2 linked regions of the Diceros bicornis minor genome follow. The protein of the gene in region 2 interacts with the protein of the main gene of each other region in a pairwise test. Links are inferred from orthologs where the notes say so. Each region holds a gene or a part of one and is shown on either strand. Other genes may lie near its edges.

Evidence for each region.
Region 1: the proteins of METTL21A (region 2) and FAM200C interact in binary tests that used the Homo sapiens proteins (3 or more experiments, as listed by UniProt). The two-hybrid records come from large-scale screens. The link is inferred for Diceros bicornis minor from reciprocal best matches to the Homo sapiens genes METTL21A and FAM200C.

Annotation. Positions count from the first base shown.
Region 1 is NC_080740.1:75,839,568-75,847,826, reverse strand, and holds the start of FAM200C (protein FAM200C), read left to right. Parts: upstream 1-5,143; 5' UTR 5,144-5,492; coding exon 5,493-5,527; intron 5,528-6,404; exon of another isoform or gene 6,405-6,482; intron 6,483-8,259. Other genes in the region: pre-mRNA-splicing factor SLU7, read left to right, coding at 882-986, 1,145-1,216, 1,331-1,444, 2,113-2,292.
Region 2 is NC_080749.1:84,488,153-84,496,250, forward strand, and holds the start of METTL21A (protein N-lysine methyltransferase METTL21A), read right to left. Parts: upstream 3,123-8,098; 5' UTR 3,059-3,122; intron 2,756-3,058; exon of another isoform or gene 2,533-2,755; 5' UTR 2,500-2,532; coding exon 2,353-2,499; intron 720-2,352; coding exon 608-719; intron 1-607. UniProt on the Homo sapiens protein: Protein-lysine methyltransferase that selectively trimethylates residues in heat shock protein 70 (HSP70) family members. Contributes to the in vivo trimethylation of Lys residues in HSPA1 and HSPA8.

The sequences.
Region 1 (8,259 bases), on a different chromosome or scaffold from region 2:
TGATGTTAACTCCTTAAGCTCTAGTCCGTAATCACATTTTCCAAAAAATACGCAAAAATGTCTTTAACTAGCTGTTTGGTTTTGGTTATTTTTTGTTTTTGTTTTTGGTCAGAATCCAGTTGAAGTTTATTTTGATTGTTATTGGTTGTTATATCTCTTTTTTTCTAGAGTGTGTCTCTCCTTTTTCATGACAGTGACTGTTTAACAGATCAGGCCAGTTATCTTGTAAACTGTCTCATATTCTGTATTTGACTGGTTCCTAGTGATATCGTATAACTTATTCCTCTGTCCCTTGTATTTCCTATAAACAGGAATTCAGATCTAAAGGCTTGATTGAATATAAGTTAAATATTTTGACAAGAACACTTCACAGGTGATGCATTATACTTCATATTGCATCACCTCAAAAAGCATATAATGTCACCTGCTGTACTCTGATGCCCCCAGACAATTGTCTCTCCAAGTCAGGGATCAAAAACCTAACTACCTGTAGGAGCTAGGCCACTAATCGTATATGAATGAAGTGAGCCGGGCAAATTGTGTCGACTAGTGAAGACAAACCCTGTCTAATAGGGGCATCCACTCGTCAGCAACAGCCAATTATTGACAAGTGGGAATGTGGACCCAGAATTTCTGAGTCCTTCTAAATCTTTCAGGAGAAATCAGATATCCTAAATATTTCTTTTAGACCATTATAACTGTAATGCCTGCTTCTCACACTTGAGGTCAGGCCACCCTCTCCCTGTTAGGTAGCCCTAGAATCCTCATAATTTTCCTCCCAAATCACCTTTAAAAGGGCTGTATTATTTTATACTCTTAACAGTATATGAGAGTCCCTAGTTTCAGGTTCCTTTTTAAGTAACCTCTGTCTCTCTCTGCAGCATATCTGGGGATCTTACTGGAAAGAAGGCCGATGGGGATACAAATGCTGTCACTCTTTTTTCAAGTATTCCTATTGTACTGGAGAAGCTGGGAAGGAGATTGCTGTAAGTAATTGTCCTCTAGTTCTTACTGATGTAAAACAGCCAAAGCTCTTAAGTCAAAGTCTGGATGAAACATATCTTCTCATGTTTCAAGTTTTAATTTTTTCTTAGATGATTGGTAACTATGATACTCAAGTCAAATTACATTTATTTTCCCACAGAATTCAGAGGAATGTATTATAAATGATATCACTGGAGAAGAATCTGTGAAAAAACCTCAGACCCTCATGGAGGTAAGTCTATAATCATTTGTCCTAAATTTTTAAGTCCTGGAGGGAGGACTTTAAAACTTGCACTAGCGCTTTGTTTTTACATTAATAACACTATATTTGAATCCTCCCTGTCAGATTCACCAGGAAAAACTAAAAGAGGAGAAAAAGAAGAAAAAGAAGAAGAAGAAGCATCGAAAGAGCAGTTCAGATAGTGATGATGAAGAAAACAAACATGAAAAGTTAAAAAAGGTACTTTGTGAAGTCTAAATAAATATTAAAGTGACAACACTATTCTTTATTTGTAGGGACCTTAGGAAATTATCTGGTTCTGTCTCCAAGCTCATTTTAAAAATGAGGAAACGAGCTTGAGTCTGGGTGATTTGCTCAGGTCACATTGTATCCATCTGGTCTAGAATGCAAATGGAGATTTTGTGTGTCTTGGTATTGCCTGCTTCGTGGATTATTTGTTAAATATCACTAATGCACAGAAGAATTGTGCTTGTGAAAGCTGTTATTTTAGAGTTATTGACATGTTGCCCAGGAAGAATTGCCTTTTAACTCTATAATTTGTAAGTTTCAACAAGTCCTTGGGGAAAAATCAGAATTGCAGTCTCCACCAGAATTATCAGTTGCTGGCTTCTGTCAGTAAAATGGACCTCATTCAATTTTTGTTATTAAATAAAATTTCTTTCACATTGGAAATGTCATAGAATGTTTTGTACTCTATGAAAATATATGAGCCAAATAGTGAGTAGTTGTAGCTTGACAGTGGAAGGGCTAACTCCCAACTGTCTCAGGCAATCTAGGTTTTTGATGCGGCAATTTGTATTCAGTGAGGTCTTTTGGTACTCTGCCACTTTTGAACAAAAGAGATCTGATGTAGAGCCATGGTACTCATGTTTTTCCTCTCACTGTAGGCACTGAATGCAGAGGAGGCCCGCCTTCTTCATGTCAAGGAGATCATGCAGATTGATGAGAGGAAGCGGCCCTACAATAGCATATATGAAACTCGGGAACCCACGGAAGAGGAAATGGAGGCCTATAGAATGAAACGTCAGAGGCCAGATGACCCCATGGCCTCCTTCCTTGGACAGTAGTAACTAGTCATAGACAGTCACCCAAGATAGACGCTGCTGATAGATTCTTTTAGCTTCTTGCCAGTGATTATGGATGGGAAAATCTCTGTCTACTCTTCTTGCTGCCTGACTGTACAATAAAGCTTCCAGAAGTCTCATAGTAAATTCATTCCTTTCCACACAAAAGAAACAAAGAAGAAAAACAGTTATATTAATGCAGATTAAGATTTCATTTCCAATTTTATATTAGTTGTGTGGAAAGAGACCTTGTCTCTCTACCTATCAAGAATATCTTCCACTCAACATTTATGTCTCAAACTTTACTTCCTCAATTTTTATGGCGCTTTATCTAGTGTTAGCACACATCTTGAAGACAGATTAATTACTCTTTCTTAAAACCAGGGCTTCATTTTTTTTTTAATTGCTAGTAACTATAATTGTAGTTATTTGATAGTCATTTGTTTTTGCCTTCTAAGGGTTTCCTGGTCTGAAGCAAAAAAAATTATTCTATCTTGGGGTTTGGGTTACTGAAAGGAAATCTGTAGAACGTGTGAATAACTTTATCCCCAATGTCAATCTGTGTAGTAATAATTCTGTTTTCTACTTGGTTATAAAATTTTGATTTTTTAAATATTTCCCCATACCTTACACCCAGAACTAAATCTGTTAGCCTTGGAATGGAAAAATAACTTTTGTCTTCCTTGAGTCAGTGTTGATTGATCAGTACTCAGTGTTTTACCATTCTGGGCATGAGTCTTTAGATACAGAAATCCTTTCCTTTATCACAGAGGATATAGTTTCTGATACTGTTTGTTGTTTTGATTGTGATTGCCTTTATGTAACAATCAGGAATATTGGATTTTATAAGATTGTAGAATATCCATTGCACCTAATCTTTATAGCCAGCAGGTGTCACTTTGTAAAATTTGCAAAAAGACCTCAAATGGAAGGTTTCTTTGAAGAATTATAAGGATAGCTTATAGGGATATTAGTAACTGAGATTGCCATGATCTTCAGGCCTCTTCTAAGAACATTGTGAAGATAACACTGACAGTGAGAGTGGGATCAGTGAAACCTGTACATCGTACATTGACTTTCAACAGCTCACTGGCTTTTCTAAGCTACCAAAACCCACTAGGATACTGTCTTAAGTTAGCATCTCAGAAATAGTGCTCGTGGGAGAGTAAATGAGTCAAATTGTGAAGTATTATAGATATACGTGGTATCTAGATTCAGACTACTATGAAATTAAAACAGCCATGGAAATAGGTCTAATTCTTATCTACTTTAAGAATGTCACAAATTTATGTTTTCAGATTCCTACCATAACATAGGATGGTTCAACATAAAGTCTGACATTGGTGTCTATTTTGTATTTTATTTATCTTTTGTTAATAAAGACATAATTGAGAATTAACTGTGAGTGGTCTGTAGCATTATTTCAAATATTTGGCAGAAAAGTAGTTTATAGGACTGGCAGGGAGCCTAGGTTAGCTTCTGTGAGTTTGAACTAGAAAATTTCAGGATTCTTTAACTCGAAAAACGTGTCACCTAACCGTTCTGGGCTTCTTTTCTCTCTTTTGTGAAACCTAAGTTACTCTGATTTTAGGAAGAGTTCTGTAATATCTGAAATCATGTCTAATTTCTGTTTCATTTTGAAAAAAAGGTAACATCTAGAACATTACTCAAGATTTGAGCTTTGATTTTATTATCTCAATAATAGCTGCCGTTTGAGTGCTGGAACTATGTGCTGTAATTTTCGTATGTTATCTCCTCAAAAGAGCTTCATGGGGTGAGTAATGGACGATATTCGTATTTTACAATAAGCACATGGGCTTAAGAGTCCAGGTAACTTGTGTTGGGGCCCCGACATAAAGCCAAGTATCTCTGCCTCTAAAGCCTACTCCTTTCTCTGGTATTTAAGGCCCAGGTTTGTGGACCAGGAAGGCTGGTCTTTTGCCATTTCTTCCATTGACAGAAACCTTAAGCAGACTCTCCGTCTTCATCAGGTTCACCCACAACACCTGAAAATGTTGCACCTGACCAACGTTCTTGGACACTTGCCCCTCCCCCAGCCTTGTAGGATGTTTCTCACAAGAGTGACTATACAAACATGAATAAAATGTCATTTCATTAAGTTTATAAGAATTCTGGAGGAAAATATCCCCAAAATAGGAAAGAGGGCTATATTTGGGTTTGTTTCTTTCAATAATGTTTTCTAGTTTCTACTTTGGAGTTTTTCTGTAAACTCTCTCTAATATGGATTTATTACTATAAGATCCTGTTGTTAAAAAGAATTTTAAATAAAATTTAAAATCTCTCTAAGATGGAGGATGATTCTTAGGAAATTCATCCACATGCTGATTCATGGGAAGCAGGGGCAACCTGCATGGGGAAGCGGACGCAAGCTCATCCTCCACCGTTAATATCTGAATGGAATGTACAGCTTGTCCCATTTGCCTGAATGTTTAATTTGGGAGTAGAATGAGCTTCCTTCTCTTTTTCCTCATTGATTCCTCATAGAAAATGGTGATTATTGGAGCATTATAATCTCCAAGCAAAAAGCCTGACACAAAACTTTATTACCAGTGCTCTAAATGTTAAAGTGTAGAACTATGTGGACTTCACAATGCCTTCCATTCCTGAGAGTCTACGACTCATCGTTTCTGGCAGACACAACAAGCAAGTAATTCCCAGCTCCGCGTACAAAATCTAAAAAAAAAAAAAAAAAAAAAATTGGGGAGGGCCAGCGCGCATGCTCCGTACTCGAGCCGGCCGGGCTTCCAGCCTTTTGTTAATGCGCCTGCGTGCGGGGAGCCACCTCGCCCGGGCTGCGGGCGGGAAGCCGCCTGGAGAACCCGGATGGAGCCCCGGCGCGGCTTGGGCGGAGGTCGCTGCGGGCGCTACAGTCTTACCTTGCTCCCCACGTTCCTGCTCTGGGGTCGGACCTGAGGAACCGCTGCCTAGACTTGTTCTGGCGCCTACAGGCTAAGCCCCAACCTGAGCACGGAGCGAACTGGAGCCTGAAACGGGCGCCTAAAAGAAGCCTGAGCATCCCTTGGGCCTGCGCCCCTGGCTCGGCGACGGGCGGGTGGAGACGGAGCAGAGTCTTCTTTCCTCGCCGCCGGCGCCCTCCTCTCGCCCGGGCCTCCTGGTAAACGTTCCGTCCTTAATAATCCACCAACAGTCCTACCAGTTACGAGCTGGTGTTCTTTACATGCATGCTCATAATTAAACCTCCCAACAACCCTGTCAGGTAGGTACCATTGTCATCCCCAGTTGCCGAATTGATGCTTGGAAAGGTCCCAGCCTCTAAGTGACAAAGCCAGGATCTCAGGCGTTTGCCTCTGCTGCTGCAGTCCCGTCCGTTTTCTCCTGGCTATTGCTTTTTAACTGTAAAATGTAATGATTAAATCCTCTGCCTCCCCAGACACCGCACCTACCGTGGGCTGGCATAGGCGGTGGCTAGATGTAAGCTGAATTGCATTTGGTTTGGAGTTTAGGTTTACAACTGCACTTTTGTGTTGTCACTGCTGAAATAGATGTTTTAGCATTCTCCAAATATTTCTGTTATGGGAATGTTTACTTTTAACTGTTTTTGTCTCCCAATTGTGATCCTTTTTCATATCTACCCTTATACTTCAAAAACTTGCAAAAACATTTTACTTTGTTATATGAGATCGTTGTTCTATCAGATCTTTTATTCTGCATCTTAAGATCTCTCAACGAATTCAAAAGAATCATTCTAAAACCGAATTGTGTCTATCTTAATAAGATAATGCTTTTTATTTTACTGTTTATTATGGAAATTTTTCAGCGTACAGAAAAAAGTGAGAATGGTATATGAAATGTGTACCCATCATCCAGCTTCAACAGTGACAAGTCAAGGCCAATCTTATTTCTTCTGTCTCCGCCCCACTTTGTGTGTGTGTGTGTGTGTGTGTGTGTGTGTGTGCTGAAGTACAGTATTTCAAAGGAAATCCCAGACATCTTATCATTTCACTTGTAAATAAGTCTGTATCTCTAATAAATGAGAACTTTTTTTAACACAGCCATACCATTTTTCACACGTGTTTAGATTAACAATAATTCCTTAATAAGATGATGCTTTTTTTAATGTTTACATATTTTAGGATGTTGTGATTGCTAAATACCACAAAGGAGCAAGTGAAAATTGTGAGGTTCTAAAACACAAGAAAGCCTCTTGGGCGGTAAGTTCATCTTTGAGGATCTTGAAAATTCTTGCTGTCTGTTCTCCCTTTTGAGGGGGATGGAGAAGAAAACTATAAATGACTTTTTCTAAAAATTCTTTTGTTCAAAACAGGTAAATCTTCAATCAAAGTATACTTCAGTAGCATAGTCAAGATGGATAGGAATAGACTCTTAACTGGTCCTATAATGATTTCTAATGAGACTGAAACAAAGCTTTTTCCTTCACTCCCTCTCGCCCTCAAAATATACATGGTAAATTTACGTAACAGAATACAGAAAGATAAGCATGTTTGATGCTGATGTTATCATTTTATTGCTTTCAATTAGGAGAGATTCTAAACACAGTTGGCCCTATAGTCTCATCACTTGACAAAAGAAGGCTTAAGATCAACTCGTTAAACTTAAAATCGTCTTTGTTGATTGGCAGACATCTTCCCATTTTTTTAACTGGCTCCTAACAACCATATGGCAGATCAACTTATTAGGTACATAGTAGTACATTTTACAACTAGTTAATCTTGGCAGAGTGGCTAGAAAACTAGTGCTTTAAGTAAATATTCTTGGCTTGCTTATTGTGATTTTTTTTTTTTTATGGCTAAAGTGGGCGTTTGGGTTTAAATGTGCCCCTGTTATTTCAGCCACATTCTGTGGCATAGAACTTTGGAAACTTTGGGGATTACTTATTTATCTGGGAGATAGAATTGTTTTCTAAGGTGTATTGGAGCCTTCCTGTGGATTATACCTTTGCTCTTGCTAAGAAGGGAGGAAAAAAGGCATGCCTTTCTTTTTAGGTCCCTCAGCTTTCATGGGAGGTTGTCGTCAACTCAGAAAACTGAAATGCCTAGACTTTTTACTTAGCAACCTAGAATACCTGCAAGCGAGGGATTGGCCTGAAGGATATGTTTCATTCCTCTAAATCCCACTACTTACTAGAATATGTATCAGAATCACCTGGACAGCATTATTTTAGATTCTTTTGTCCTACTTCTGGAAAAGATGATTTATTACTTCTAAGGAAATACAGAGACGTGTACTTTCAAAGAGGTTCCCAGTGATTGTGATGGGCATCTTGTTAAAGATTACTGCTCTAGTTAGGATTCATAAGAATTATCTCAATTGCTTATTTAGAATACAGATTCTGGGCCCTTCACAGCTAGAGAATCAGAATATCTGGGCCCAGGAATCCGTATTTTAGCAAGAGAGTGAGATGATTCCTCCATTTACTAAACTAGAGAACCACTGCCTTCTACATCCTGTCCTTGGATTAAGCCAAATCTTAGGAATGCTGCTTATTTTCATTCCATTGTTTCAGCTTCTTTCTTGACTGCTTTTACTGAGGGGTAGTTATATGAAAAAGCATCCTGAAATTCCTATTGTAATTAAGGGTGTCCTATGAAAGAAATTTTTCTGAAGTCTTGGTAATAAGAATAGTTGTGTTTCCCCTGAGCAACTTGTTTTGCTTTTCTGTATGGACCGTATGAATCATGGACTGATGTGTGTTACACTTTAGCAGCAGGAAAGCTCTGAGCCAAATTTGTATCCTACTTCAGTGTCAAGGGTGGCTTAATCAGACCTGTTTGAATTTCTCAAGTTGGAGTCAAAGCTGTGCAAGGATCAAATAGTTTTATAGACCTGATTAATCCTTAACTAACAAAGAACTAGCCACCGTGTCCAACTCTGCCCTTCCGTATTTAGTGAATTACCCCCTTCTCTGTTCACTGGTGCATAACTTGGGGTGTGCATACCTTCTTGGCACAGGATGGAAGGAGGGTATGG
Region 2 (8,098 bases):
TGGCTTGAACTGTATAAGCCAGAAGTTGTAGAAAGGAGTCAAGAATGAATAATAAAGTAAAAACGAAGCTTAAAAATGCTCTAGGCCTAAATCAGTGTCTGCATATCAAACAAAAAAATGACAAACCTTGATATCAATTCAAACTGTAAACTGTTTAATATGTCAGTACAACCTGAAGCCGGGCCGACCCTTCCCAGAAGAGAAATACCAGCCGTTTCCTCAGCAGTGAAGCAAAGAGACTCTGCTCTGCCCACCTGTCAGTTAAGCGCCAGAGGGCACGGGAGAGCCCTGGACATAACAACTATGTCCATGAACAAGATAACTCTCCTTGAACTCAAGGTTGCCTTCAGATCCTATTATCAGCACCGGAGAATTGAAGGAGGCAAAGCAATGCCCCACGAAAAGTATGAACTACAGGGTGACAGAGAGAGAGATTAGCCCTCCCAGAGCTGAGAGCACCAGCAGTCAGCCCATAACTCATAAGTACAGGAGAAAGGAAAGTAATCCAGAACGGGAGAAACTGGCAAAGGATTTGCACCATGGAAACAGCCAAGGCCCCTCTCGACGAGTCCACTCACACAGGAGTGAGCCGGCAGGTCACACTCACCCAGCAGGGCAGCCACTATGCCCACCAGCCCCGCGCCAGCACCCAGCTCCACGACAGCACGGCCCCTGAGCTCCACGGCTCCCATCTCCAGATACGTGGAAAGAACAACAGCCTGGGTCAAAACACAGCAGTGTGATGAGGGTCAGCACATGCTGGAGGGGCTGGGGGGCTTCAAGCAGGCTACGCTCTGCGGGGAGGACACACAAACCCCCCCGCAAGGCTCAGCTCCCAGCTCAACAGCACGCAAGGGACTCCACTAGCACGCAGACACCTGGCCCCCACCGCAGGTCCCCGAGGCCCCCTAAGTCCCTAACGGGGCGGCAGCAGTCAGTGACACTGCCCACACGAGATGGGTCCCGATACTGTGTCACAGCGTTTTCACACTTGGGGTTCACAAAACTACTCTGCAGAGCTGACTGAACAGTCTCTGAGAGTTTGTTTAAGGGAATGTCGAGTCCCCACCCAAGCTCAGGTCAGCCAGGTCACAACCTCCCAGAGGGAAAATGCAGAGCAGCGCCCAGGCCCCGGAGCTGCAGCCCTGACCACCCCACAGGGCCCTCACCAGACATTACTGGGCGTCAAAAGGTGAGTTTTGGCCAAAGTTTTGGATACTTGATGTTTGAGCCAGCACTCGAATACAATTCTATAAGGCATTGTGTACTGTTAACATAATTGTTGACTATAATGTGCTTTTCATGGCCATAGGCTGTAAGTATAATTACAATTCCTCTTCTTGGTGAGCATTACTCACTAGCAGCTATCTTTATCATTCATTTCGGGAATACTTGTCACGTAGTCACCTTGGACTAAAGTCCTAGAAGTGGTATTACTGGGTTAGAACATATGGAGATTTTTATTCCTAAACATTTCTCTGACATCCCTAACACAATGTTCAGGCTGTAAAACTGTATCCATGCCAGTCATTTATCCAACACTAACTGAGCTCCCACTGAGTCCCAGGTGTGGTGCTAGCTGTGGAGGGCAAGTCACTGTGCTGGGAGAAGAATAAAAAGGATAATTCCGTGACCATCACAACTATGGGAAACAAAGAAAATACACCATCTTCATTTCATGTTTTGTCACTTTAAAAGATTCTTTGTGCACTATTTTAAAATTTTGACTTAAGAATTAACTTAGGGGCCACTGGGTGGCGTAGCGGTTAAGTGCGGCGCTGGGCTTCCGCAACCGGGGGTTCGCAGGTTCCTATCCCGGCGCCCAGACACGCACCGCTTGTCAAGCCATGATGTGGCGGCGTCCCATATAAAGTAGAGGAAGATGGGCACGGATGTTAGCCCAGGGCCAGTCTTCCTCAGCAAAATGAGAAGGACTGGCAACAGAGGTTAGCTCAGGGCTGATCTTCCTCACCAAAAAAAATAAATTAACTAAATGAGTGTCCAAAGCTGTTAGGGGCTGCTGCTCCTCACCCACCCCTGACCCAAGTCATTCAACTCCCCTCTGCTTTCCGTTACTCACCCTTAAAAAGCAATGGGGGAGGGGGAAAGGGAAATGATTCTAATGGGTAGAAGTTATTTTGGATGGGGTAGGTGATGAAAATGTTTAAAATTGAGCATAGTGCTGGTTGCACCACTCTGATTATTCTTTAAAAAATCACTAAATTGTACACATTAAATAGGTGAAATGTATGGTATATGAATTGTATCTCAAGACAGCTGTTTATTTTAAAAAGTACAGGCTAGTCTTAGAACCAGCTGCAGACGCTGTCAGAGGCCCCCGGGCTTGCTTACCGCGTCCCACACCACCGCCGCCACTCCCAGGTGCCTCCAGTCCTGCCGGATCTGGATCGTGTGGTTTGCAAAAGAGAAGGTGGCCAGGGGCCTGTGGAACTTCTGCAGCCCCACCGCCGCGGTCTCCTCGTAGGGCACGAGGGCCATGTCGCCCGCGCCCAGCTCTCTGCCTCCTCAAACCTGTTGGGCAAAAGAACCCTGGTGACGCTCTGGCCAGAAAACGCGCTGTCCCTCAAGTGGCTCCAAATTCCTTTTAAGGGCGTTTTATAAGTTCAGAGAGGTGGGGGAAGCCTTTGTCTAATTCCTTTTGCGCGGCTGACCCCGAGTCTTCTGGGAAGGGCGATCTGGCTCTGAATTCGCGCCGAGGGTCGTCTCCGGGCCGGGCAGCCCGCTGGGCAGCACCCCGCGGACGCCCTGCGCGCTCCGGCGGTGCCGCGGACCAAACCAGGAGGACCAGAGCCCAGCCCGGAGAGGCGCGTCCACGCCGCCGCAGCCCGCAGGGTATTTCTCGCTTGGTGTCGGTCTTCTCTCCGCCCTCTAACCGGTGCGCTCGGCGGTGACGACAGCGCGCGCGAACCCGCCCCGCGCGTTAGCGGTTTGACGGCCGCCTCCGCACGCAGCGGGACGCGCGCGGCCCGCGCGGGCCCTTCTGCCCGCCCTCCGAGCCGGGTCCCCAAGCCTGCCGCCCACCTCCCCGAGGACGCACGGCGCGCGTTCCTGCCCGCGGGCCGGAGCTCGGGGACGGCGGGCCGTGGAGATGCGGGGGCGTCCACAGGGCCCCCACCCGGGGTGCCCTCCGCTTCCCCCTCCCGAGGGCCCGCGGCGGGGCCTGGCCGGGGCGCACAGCTCCGAGACCCGAGGGTGGCCAGGCACACAGCCGCCTGGAAGGGCCCGAGGGGGGAGGCGGGGCCGCGGAGGAGGAAGAGGGAGAGGGAGGAGGAAGGGGAGGAGCGGGGCAGAAGGAGGAAGAGGAGGAGGAAGGGGAGGAGCGGGGCAGAAGGAGGAAGAGGAGGAGGAAGAGTGGAGCGAGGGAGGGGAGGAGGAGCGGGGGCAGGGGGCCGCCCGGGGGAAGGCGGCAGACACGGCCGCCTGGAAGGGCGCGAGCGGGGAGGCGGGGCAGGCGGAGGGGGCAGAGGGCGAGGAAGAGGAGGAAGGGGAGGAAGGAGAGGCGGGGAGGGGTGGGGGCCGCCCGGGACGCGCTCCGCCGGGACAGGTACTCCCCGAGCGCGGGGCGCGAGGACGCGGGGCTGCGGCGACGGGGTGGCCCCAACCTGGCGCCGGACACGCTCCCGTGCCCGCGCGCGTTCTTCTTTGGTTTTCAGCGCGCGTGCCAGCTTGTGTTTAGGTTTAAAGGTGGCCAGTTAGGGGCGGAGGAGACAGCTCGCTCCGGCACACGGGTCCCCACGTCCTCGCGTCCCCAGTGAGCAGTGACGCGGTGCGGCGGCCCGCTGGGGGGCAGCAGAGCCCGAGGGACAAGGCCCGTCTCCACCAGGCGCTCGGGGGAGCTCGCGGCGGCCGGTAAGCCGCGTGGTCAGCCCCTGACCGCCGACCCGAGGCCCCGGTCGCCCCGGGGCGCGCAGAAGGTTGGCGCCCTGCCCTGGGGACACCGTCCCGGGCCGCAGGCGCTGGAGAGCGGCTCCTCCCGGGGACGCTCTTTGTCCTCCCGGACCGACCCGGCCCGGCCCAGCGCCCTCACGGAGAGTCTCAGCCTGGCTTAGCACCCCCAGAGAGTCTCGGCGGTGGGGGGCGCCCCGACCCTCCGGGGCCTGCCGGTCCTCGCGCGCAGCTGCCCGGAGGCCAGCAAGGCCTAACCTCCCACCTGAGGGGGGTCCCCGCCTTCCGGATTTCCTCAGCCTTCCAGAAGGCCGGGCCGCTGCAAAGGTGACTTGAAGTGAACTTTGCAAGTCACCAGTGAAGGTCGTTTACTGATTTTGTTTTTGTTTTTTTTTGCTTTGCTCAGCTTGTTTATTTTTATTGTTTTTAATTTTTTATGTAGTAGAATTTATTTTTTGAGAGCAAAGTTTACAGCAAAATTGGGGAAAAGGTACAGCGAGTTCCCGTGTACCCCCACCCTATCCCATACACACGCACAGCATCTCCCACTGTCAACATCCCCCACCAGGTGGTATGTTTGTTACAATCAGTGACCCTACACTGACACCTCGCTGTCGTCTAAAGACCATAGCTGGCACTGGGGCTCACTCTTGGTGCTGTACAGTCTATGAGTTTGGACAAATGTGTAATGACACGTATCTACCATCATAGTGTACAGAGTAGTTTCACTGCCCTAAAAATCCTTCCTGCTCCATGTGTTCATCCCTCCCTCCTCGGTGACCTCTAGCAACCACTGATCTTTTTACTGTCTCCATAGTTTTGCCTTTTCCAGAATCATATAGTCGGAGTCATCCAGTATATAGCATTTTCAGATTCGCTCCTTTCACTTAGTAATAAGCGTTTAAGCTTCCTCCATGTCTTTTCACAGCTTGATAGCTCATTTCTTTTTAGTGCTGAGTAATATTCCATTTTGTGGATTTCGTAGTTTATCCATTCACCTACTAAAGGACATTGTGGTTGCTTCCAAGTTTTGGCAATTATGAATAAAGCTCCTATAAACATCCTTGTGCAGGCTTTTGAGTGGACATAAGTTTTCCACTCCTTTGGGTACATACCAAGGACCATGATTGCTGGATCGTATGGTAAGAGTATGTTTAGTTTCTTAAGATATTGCCAAATTGTCTTCCAAAGTGGCTGTACCGTTTGCATTCCCACCAGCGATGAATGAGAGTTTCCCATTGCTCCACATCCTCATCAGCATTTGGTGTTGTCTGTGTTTTGGATTTTGGCCCTTCTAATAGGCCTGTTGGTTCAATTTGTAATCTCCTAATGGCATATGATGTTGCGCACCTTTTTTTTCCAGTTTTATTGAGATTATAATTGACATATAACATTGTGTGAGTTTGTCTACAACATAATGATTTGATATATGTATATATTGCAAAATAATTATCGCTATAAGTTAACATCCATCACCTCATGTAGTTACAGTTTTTTTCCTTGTGATGACAACTTTTAAGATCTGTCTTAGCAAATTTCAAATATACAATACAGTATCGTTAACTACAGTCACCATGTTGTACATCACATCCCCAGAACTTATAACTGGAAGTTTGTACCTTTTGACCCCCTTCACCCGTTTCCCCCACCCCTACCCTCCACCTCTGGTAATTACCAATCTGTTCTCTGTTTCTATGAGTTTGGTTTTGTATTTTTTTAGATTCCACATATAAGTGAGATCATACAGTATTTGTCTTTGTCTGACTTATTTCACTTAGCATAATACCCTCAAGGTCATCCATGTTGTCGCAAAGGGCAGAATTTCCTTCTTTTTTATGGCTGAATAATGTTCCATTTTGTGTGTTCTTCATCCATTCATCTGTCAATGGAACTTAGGTTGTTTCCACGTCTTGGCTATTGTAAATAATGCTGCAGTGAACACGGGGGTGCAGATAGCTCTTTGAGATAGTGATTTCATGTCCTTCAGATATATACCCAGAAGTGGGATTACTGGATCATATGATAATTCTATTTTATTTTTAAATTTTTGAGGAAACTCCATACTTTTTTCCATAGTGGTTGCACCAGTTTACATTCCCACCAACAGTGCTCAAGGGTTCCCTTTTCTCCACATCCTCACCTGCATTTGTTATCTCTTGTCTTTTTGACAATAGCTATCATTACAGGTGTGAGGTGACATCTCATTGTGGTTCTGATTTGCACTTCCCTGATGATTAGTGATGTTGAGCATCTTTTCATGTGCCTGTTGTTTGGACCATTTTTAAATCTGATTGTTTTCTTAGTGTCGAATTTTAAGAGTTCTTTGTATATTTTGGATAACAGCGTCTTTTGCAAATATTTTCTTCCTGTTTGTGGCTTGTCTTCTAATTCTCTTGATACTGTCTTTCACAGAGCAGGAGTTTTTTATTTTAATGAATTCCAGCTTATCAGTTATTTCTTTCATGGATCGTGCCTTTGTTGTTGTATCTGAAACATTGTCATCACACCAAGGTCATCTAGATTTTCTCCTATGTTGTCTTCCGAGAGTTTTATAGTTTTCTGTTTTACATTTAGGTCTGTGACCCATTTGAGTTATTTTTTGTGAAGGGTGCAAAGTCTCTGTGTAGATTCATTTTTGTGCATGTGAATGTCCAGTTGTTCCAGCACCATTTGTTGAAAAGACTATCTTTGCTCCATTGTATTGCCTTTTCTTCTTTGTCAAAGATCAGTTGACTGTATTTATGGGGGTGTCTTTCCTGGCTCTCTATTCTGTTCCATTGGTCTCTTTGTCTATTTTTTCACCAGTACCACACTGTCTCAGTTACTGTAGCTTCATAGTAAGTCTTACAGTTGGGTAGTGTCAATCCTCCAACTTTGTTCTCCTTCAATATTATTTTTCCTTTGTTGGTCTTCTCTCCCTCTGCTTTTTCCTCTCCTGTCTCCTTTCTCTCTTGCCTCCTCTGCCCTCTGCTGTTTCTCCCTCTCAACTTTCCTTTTTTTAACCTCTCTTCTCCTTATTTTCTCTTTCCCTCTCTTTGTCCCTTTCCTTTGGGGAGCCAGTACTGGGCACAAGACAAAGTAAGTGCTTTGGAGCTGGAGAAAGTGTGAAAATTTAAATTCTGCCTCTGACACTTGAACTGGAATGAACTTGAGTATTTCCTAAACCTCCCTAGATCCAGGCTCATCCTCCATAAAGCCTGGCTCAGAGATTCTGGCCCCTTCTCCCTGTTCTCCGTTGTTTCTGCTGAAATCATGTGTGCGCCTCTACAGAACAGGACTTCCCCCCCCCCCAGCTCTCCGCTAACAGGACATCTGCCTTGTGGTGTTTACTGACAGTTTATCCAGAAAGCTGCCCTCACTTTTCCTCGGTGGTAATGAAGAGCCTTGTTTAGCTTTACCCATGTTCTCGTTGGTACAATTAGATGTACGGTTGGCTCAGGCAGCACCAAAAAGAATATTTAGGAGCATGTGCAACTTGTATAGCAGGGTAGACGTCACGTGGAGCTCTGTTTTTACCAAAATAAGCTAAAACAGCCGGTAGTTCCCTGTGACTACTTGAAAATAAATTTTTAATCCTCAAAAGAAGTCGGGTATGTGGTAGATTATCTTATTTTATTTTATTCGAAATGCCCAGTCCACCTGCTCCAGGCCTGTCGTTGGTGTCCTTCCCGAGGAGCGAATGTCTCCGAGCCCTGTGGAGGTCGGGCGTGGCCGTGATGCAGTGTGGGGGTGGTGATATCTGCCGGCAGGAGCCTGAGGGCCGGGCACAGCCGAGCCACTGCCCCTTTGCCCTCTGCTCCGGAACTGCATGTCCACCTCCCTACCCCAGGTCCCCAGGTGGAGCAGAGCCACAGCTGGCCTGTAAAATTGTGGAACAAGCCTTTGTGCAGGTCGCCGTTGAGATTTAGTGGTGTTACTGTGGTAAAACTCTGCAGAAGCTGACAGAACACAGGTGTGAAAGAGATGGAAATTTCAGAGATTAGTAGACGTTTTTACTGTGGGTGCCTAGGGTAGCTTCTCAGTAAATCCTGTTGTGGAGCCTACCTGGCTCATCATGCCTCCTCACCTGCCCTGCGCAGGGCCCAGCGTCAGCGTCGCCTGACTCCTGACCACCTCTGTCCGCCTGTGGTTCTAGGACTGAAGACGGTTCTCCCAACAGTCTTGCTAGAGATGTGCAATTCACTTTCCGAGG